2 linked regions of the Mytilus edulis genome follow. Each later gene encodes a partner of the first gene's protein in a complex. Links are inferred from orthologs where the notes say so. Each region holds a gene or a part of one and is shown on either strand. Other genes may lie near its edges.

What was found.
Region 2: the proteins of non-structural maintenance of chromosomes element 3 homolog (region 1) and non-structural maintenance of chromosomes element 1 homolog are in contact, whole or in part, in a crystal structure (PDB 7DG2), measured with the Xenopus laevis proteins. The link is inferred for Mytilus edulis from reciprocal best matches to the Homo sapiens genes NSMCE3 and NSMCE1. Residues at the interface, in XP_018121157.1 of Xenopus laevis: Gly57, Glu58, Val60, Gln61, Tyr62, Leu64, Ile65, Lys66, Gln68, Lys69, Val82, Thr100, Gln102, Gln103, Val104, Phe105, Gly106, Phe107, Asn123, Leu125, Gln126, Arg127, Val128, Gly130, Asp131, Gly132, Met133, Arg134, Asp136, Glu137; in NP_001083134.1 of Xenopus laevis: Ile5, Glu7, Gln10, Arg11, Leu13, Gln14, Ala15, Met17, Ser18, His19, Leu30, His33, Leu37, His38, Leu54, His57, Leu58, Pro60, Leu61, Phe62, Met63, Val84, Asn86, Ile88, Thr89, Met91, Ala92, Ser93, Asp94, Gln149.

The regions. Positions count from the first base shown.
Region 1 is NC_092344.1:12,733,701-12,737,460, reverse strand, and holds the start of non-structural maintenance of chromosomes element 3 homolog, read left to right. Parts: upstream 1-948; 5' UTR 949-963; coding exon 964-1,017; intron 1,018-3,760. UniProt on the Homo sapiens protein: Component of the SMC5-SMC6 complex, a complex involved in repair of DNA double-strand breaks by homologous recombination. The complex may promote sister chromatid homologous recombination by recruiting the SMC1-SMC3 cohesin complex to double-strand breaks.
Region 2 is NC_092344.1:117,754,690-117,758,449, forward strand, and holds the start of non-structural maintenance of chromosomes element 1 homolog, read right to left. Parts: upstream 2,647-3,760; 5' UTR 2,505-2,646; intron 1-2,504. UniProt on the Homo sapiens protein: RING-type zinc finger-containing E3 ubiquitin ligase that assembles with melanoma antigen protein (MAGE) to catalyze the direct transfer of ubiquitin from E2 ubiquitin-conjugating enzyme to a specific substrate.

The sequences.
Region 1 (3,760 bases):
TGCATGGAAAAATGTGCTTTGCCACTCGTGTAAATAATTTTACATATTTGTATATATTATTCTTAACCTTGAAAATAATCAGTAAATTTCAAAGTAATATCAGGAATGTACTAAGGGTTATTGCATGCATAAGGGGAAATATTATCATCAATAGATTTTTATTGAAACACCTTGGTGTGCTATTCATATCATATGCTACAAAGGATACTTGTCCAATTTTTGTGCAGTAACCCTTTTATTGTATATACCAAAGCTTGATAAACATTAACTCTTTCATTGTCTTCTGAAACATATTTTTGTCCAAGATGACACATTGCTAATTTGAAGCTTTTTGCATTAGTGCAATAAAATGATCATATAATACATCATTTCAAACGAATAACAAGTAATGTTCTGTATGAAATTATATGTTCATTTATGATTTTGCAATAGAATACCAATATACATGTATGAAGACATTTCAATGTAAAACAAACCTGCAAATTTTCTGCCTTTCTCAAGTTTATTCTTGTAAAATTAAGGCATAATCCGAATTATACAACCAATATTTCTTCCAGGAATTCCAGCTAATCTAATTTTTATGTCCACAACTGAAAATATAAATTAGATAACAAACATTATATTTTAAATGAATGAAACTTTGGTTATACATGTACTATTTAATATTCAACTGATCTCAAATTACAAAATATCAGTTTTTCAGGTGTATTTTTTAAAACTTAGACATGTTTGTATACCATCTGTTACCCAGTCAATAAAAATAATACTAAAATAACATGCAGTGTCCATGTATGGAATGATATTAAATTATAGTCATTCTAGAACATCCAATCCTTTTTCAGTTTCTAGCCAATCTAGGCAACGTCTTTCTATCATTGTTTTAATTTTGCCGGCTCAAATATTTATTTAAAATTTTGGAAGGAAATCCACATATTTATGAAAAAAGTGCAAAGTTGATTCTGAATGGGTGACCTTCATGACCTTTGTGATTGTAAACCTATTGTCTGTTATGTTCTGGTATGTATATTCATGTAATTTTCTTTTAAAACAAAACTTATCTTCCAAAAAAAAGAAGTATTATTATAGAATAAGATAAGCGAATAATCTGCAGGGCAGATACATTTATTTATGTGTAAAATACTGTAACAACAGTCAGGGCTCTCACAGAAAGAACTTAAAAGGTAATTAAATATTACTTAATCAGGGGCGGATTTAGGCGGTGGCGTGGCGGGCGTGCGCCCCCCCCCCCCCCCCCCCTCCCAAAAAAAATTTGCAAAGCATGGGTTGTCTTCAACTTATTTAAGTATCAGAAGATACCATTCCATCTTTTTTAACATTCATTATATTATATTGTATATATAACAGTCAGTTTAACAGAATTAATGTGATTACTAATCAACTGACCTACATTTTATTTAAGTTCTAAAAATATTGTATACTCCAAAGGAAGGTGTCAAACGCGGAGCTGCGTTTGGTGTCAAACATAATAGATGTTTAGCAGTTAATTTTTTCATTGTATTTGCGCTTTTTATTATCAATTTCTTTGATAATCAAAGTTCCAACTAACTTTTTTGTGGTGTACCTGTATTTCTTTATATCACAACTACCTGCAGCACGTCTTTTAAGCCGGGTTTAGTTAAGATATTACCCGATATTGCTATATAGATAATTTTACAAGTGATGGTGTCTTGATTGTAGATTGGTTTGCATTGGAACACAGAATCAAAATAAAAGGTTTGCATGATCTTCAGCTTCTGTTTTTGGGGCTGCAACTTTATTACTGTAGCTTTATAAACTCATATATACAATATGAATTCCTTAGTGCATGCCTGAGTGAGGGGTGTTTGGAGATTGTTGTGGATTTCTCCAACTTGTAAGACACCTTGCCCTCATAACTCGGAGGTTCTTCGCGGAACAGGGACATATTGTTTTACCTCTGTCCGTCCATCTGTCAGTCAGACACTATATATTTGGTCCAGAGGATTAACTAGGACGCATGCACATCTATTTCTAGTACTTCATTAAATGCAACACCAGTTTTCCCAGCAACTATTGACATACTTTTATGTGGAGGGTCAGCTTGTGTACTCCGGATTGAGGAATGTCTCTATCGATCCTTATTGTTTTCTGTCCCGTTTTGAGGAAATATATGGGGATAGTCTCAATGAATAGAAGCTCAAAGATTTCTTGTTAAGTATGGTAATTATAGATTGTTTTCAGAGGAGGATTTCGTCGGTTTCAGCTTGAAACGTAAATTTCTCGCTAATTTTACCACACAATAGTTCGTGATATCTACATTGCACCCCCTTTAGAAGAATATTTCAATAATTTTACCTCAAAATTTTTTTTCGCCTCGTTCCGCTCAGCAAACAAAAAATTTGCGCCCCCCCTAACATTAAATCCTGGATCCGCCCCTGTTAATGTTTTCTCTTGATAATCTAATCACCTAAATCAATAATATTTGTGATCAGAAAAATAGCATTGACATTTTATCATGTTTATTGTTTATATGTTTGATGTTTGATGATTAGTTTTGTAAATGGTAAACACATGCACATGTCTCACGGATATAAAAGATAAGAACATGTGCTTATTAATCAATAGAATCAAATGATAAGTTTTATGAACACTGACCAGCTATTTAATTAACAATGATTAAATTAACACTAAAGGAAAAAAGAGGGGTTATTATCATGTTTATTGCAGAAAAAGAAGAAGATAAAAGTTGCCAGATCTGACTTTTGATACACAGGGTGTACATCTTCTTTATACAATGTATATCTCTAATTGCAGAGAGGAAATGCTTTCTTACTGGAATTATTATTGATTTACAATAAAAGTCCAATACTGAAGTATCCCAATGATACCTATATCTCACATGTCTGAATTACAAATGTATACTGAACTTGAAGTTCATGAGGTTCGAGTACAAAAATCCTATTTATTCACAACTTTTCATAGGCATCACTGTCTTTAAATGTCGAAATAATCCCCCAGATTTCGCTACAATAAAGGAGAATAGGGGCTACTAAGGAATCAAAAAGTTTTCCCAGAAGTTTACAAGGGTTATCTAATCCTATTGTTTTCTTTATTTTAAAATATGCTTTCCTAGCTTTTTCAAATGGCGAAGTGATGGCGACATTAAAACTGCCATTATATCTAATACTAATACCCATGTAACAATACCGGTAAGTTTCAATATAATTTAAGCAATATCAACAAATTTTAGGTCAATTAGATTTTATGTGATTTCTTTATGATTGTGAATTAAGTTTTATAAAATTCTGGGAAGAATTGTACACATGAGAGCACTAACAATCATTGACAATGCAACTTTCCGTATAATTTAAGGGTTTCCAAGGGACACAACTCTTTTAAACCAGATCCTCCACAGGGCGCAGCTTTATACGACCGCAGAGTTTGAACCCTGGACATTGGGGCAAGTATGGACACAACATTCAAGCTTGATACAGCTCTGAATTTGGATTGTGATTAAAACAGTTGACACAACACAGGTTTCTGACACATAATGAATGTGGTCTAAGAACTTGAACTTAAAAACTTTAAATTTTAAATTGACATTACCTATTATGGTCCAATATCCAAAATCTAAATACATGGTTAGATTCAGCATATCAAAGAACCCCAAGAATTCAATTTTTGATGAAATCAAATAAAGTTCAATTTTGGACCCTTAAGACCGCAATGTGGACCAATATGATAACCGGGCCCAAACATCAAAAATCTAAATACATGGTTA
Region 2 (3,760 bases), about 110 Mb from region 1:
CATGAAAAAACTGTCAAAATAGGTGCAATTTGGGTACCGTCACGTTACATAAAAAATATTAATCTAAGTTCAAAAATCGTTCGTAATTGTGTCCGGTGAGGCTATATGACGGAATAATCAAAGTATTTCATAGGTATACATTACCAAGATATACATATAAAACTGACCCTTATCGATTGCAAAGTACAAATAGTTTAAATCATGACACAGGCGCTTGGGTCTATGATACAGATATTTTTTTTTTTATTTTTTTTATTAAAATATTCAATTTTCTATATTTATAACACATATCTATCACTTTTGTGCATGTCTCACCTAGTTTCGAGTGATTTAAACGACCCAGTGAAAATACCCAATTTTACTATCCATACTAAGAAACAAAAAGGCAACTAACTCGACGCCATTTTTCTGCTATCTATAAATAAATAGATTGACCTACCTGGATTCCCCAACAATTTCTCTAGGAAAGCGTGCCTTCCTTGCCGTCAGATCGCACACATCGTTGAAATTTATCAAATTGGTATTGTTCGTAACATTTTTAGTCCATCTCCAGCATATAATAAAAAGATTTTAACTTTTTTGACTAATTTCAAATTTACGTGCCGGGAAGTTAACTGTTTTTCCCGAACTTTTGTTAAAGGGAAGTAATATTTTCCCGGACTTTTTCGGAATATCTCTCTAAGTACGTATGAAAATAACAAAGTGATACGATGACTTCCGAACTAATACTATATGTTAACAAACAGATATGATGAATATCGAACAAGATCAAGCCCCTAATTTGATTGTTAGTGGTCATAATCTTTTAATTTTCAAAAATCACAGTTTTGATTTTATGTTAGAAAGGGGAACTGCAAAATTTGGAAATATTGTCCCCTCCCCCCCTTTTTTTTTTACTTCAGTTAACATGACCCATGTTTTGTAATAATTAAAACAAAGTCAATAACATTTTCGTGGAAAGAAAATATTAGTAAATTTCCTTGCCCCCCCCCCACCCCCCCTTTTTCACCAAATAAATAAAAATATCAGATCAAATGGTCAATGGCTTAATTTTTTTTAATTCCACTCATAAGTCAATTTTGTGTGAGTATTTGTATATTTATAAATTATCATGAATCAATGTTTTTATGAGTATCTTCTTTTGGTTGAATTGTCATCATTTCAGACTGAATATGATGACAGATTCTTTTCCGGTAATTGGAAAGTTGCGCCTTTTTGGTAAAAGTTCGGAAATCATCGTATCACTTTATTATTTTCATACGTACTTGGAGAGATGTTCCGAAAAAGTCCGGGAAAATATTACTTCCCTTTAACAAAAGTTCGGGAAAAACAGTCAACTTCCGGGCACGTAAATTTGAAATTAGTCAAAAAAGTTAATCTTTTTATTATATGCTGGAGATGGACTAAAAATGATACGAACAATACCAATTTGATAAATATCAACGATGTGTGCGATCTGACGGCAAGGAAGGCACGCTTTCCTAGAGAAATCGTCGGGGAATCCAGGTAGGTCAATCTATTTATTTATAGATAGCAGAAAAATGGCGTCGAGTTAGTTGCCTTTTTGTTTCTTAGTATGGATAGTAAAATTGGGTTTTTTCACTGGGTCGTTTAAATCACTCGAAACTAGGTGAGACATGCACAAAAGTGATAGATATGTATTATAAATATAGAAAATTGAATATTTTAATAAAAAAAAAAAATAATAATATCTGTATCATAGACCCAAGCGCCTGTGAATCATGAGTATGAAAGTCAATGCATTTATCAGTATTTGTGCACTCCCGAGAAGTTGACCACCTGGCAATATTCAAATAGATATATGTAATATACAATAAATAATAGGTTAAATAATAACAATTATCAGTCCAGATTTGTCACAATATATACATGCACTGGTTCAAGAATTGGATAAACATTATTTTTCACCAGTCACTCGTTTCTTATGACTTTAATATTTACGATCTTATTTCTCGTGCTTCGTTTTTCCGTTTTTTATTTTCCGTGCAACGTTTTTGCGATTTTTATTTCACATGTTTCAGTGTTCAGGGCCCCCTTTACCACCCTCCTATAACACAGTAATCTCAGGGGATACATACAGAACACGAATGAATCTATTTGCAAAAGTGAATCTATTAGTATTAAATCAAGCATTTGTATAGTGAGGGGGGATAGGAGGGGTCCTGATCCCGAAATCCCGGACTTAAAAAAACAAAATCCCGAGTTACCGAATTTAAATTTAAAGTAAATCCCGACGTCCCGAAATCCGAAAAAAAGAATTCCCGGATCCCGAAAGGGTCAATCCCGAAATCCCGAGCTTAAAAACACGCGATCCCGGAGTCCCGATAAAGGTCCTATCCCCCCTCTATAGTAAGAAGGTCTTATTATACAAATCCTTGATTAAATCAAATGTAACAGTGACCAGGAACATATATATTAGATCATGGAAGTATGTCAATATAATACTTCCATGATTAGATATACTGTTCCCAGCAGTGACTTACAATAAATAGCAAGTGTTTGTTTCTTGTGTCTGTTTTGTTTATTTTTCTTCCTGGTTCCCGCCAAATCCAAATAATTGACTGGTACCATACATATAATTTCGAATCTATAATGAGCTAAGAGAAAGATCAACTCTGTTAAAAATTATAAACTCTGCATGATTTTGTGTCAACTCTATGATTTTTATTTTTATTTAAGACTTATACATTTAAATCGTCATGTAACATTTAGTTTAAAATTTAGAGTTTAATTTTGAAATACCTAAAACATAGCCTGTTATGTCGGACCTTCTTTCTTTTCTTCGTAGATTCCTCCACAACGGAGCACCCTTATCACACGGTAGTTTCACTGTATCTGTATATTTTCTGCCAATATTATAGGCACACCTTCAGTATGAAGTCAATATATCCCTTCACCAATATAATGACATACAGTAGTGAATTACAATATCCAATCACCAATAGAATATATATAACGATGTACACTATTTACAAATGTCGGTATATCTTTACACACAAATCACACCCGTTCTCATCTATAAAATCTAAAAATGAGTCCTTAATAGAAAATATGAGATTTGCAGTCCACACACAACTTTTTTTTTCATTAAATAGGGCTATGATCTTAAATTATTTTTTCTAAATCTTTTCTGATCTAAATTTAAAAGTTTGTATCTGTGTAAATGAAGCTTATATATTAATGTTCTACAAGCAGGCTCTATATGGATGTTAATAAAAGCACAAAGTTCACTGGTTAGAGAGGTACCACAATAATTTACTAGATGATATGGATTGATAATAACATGGATGAAGTCTACATCTATATCATGCATATTAATGTTTAGTAGTTTTAGCACTTTGATATATTGTTCTCGGAGAGATTTCAAAAGAGACATTCTTTCAGTTTCTAAAGGTGTACATGAAATCAGAAAATGTGAAATGGTTTCATCCTCTTTACCGCAAACTCTGCAGACGGCAGATACATCATTTTGATTAAATTTTGCTCTATTTGTCTGTAAGATGTAATTGCCAGTTGCAAATCTGGTCCTAATGGGTAATTTGATTATGTCTCTACAATTTGATGTATTTGTTGTAAGAATTGGATGTATTCTTTTTGCCATATATTCACCAGATATGTATTTTAAGCTGGAGTATTTCTCTGATTCTTTATTAATTTTGTCATTCCAATAGGTATGTATTTTTTTGGTGATTAAACTTTTCCATTGCAATTTTCCTAAAGGGTTATTTAAAAAATCCTG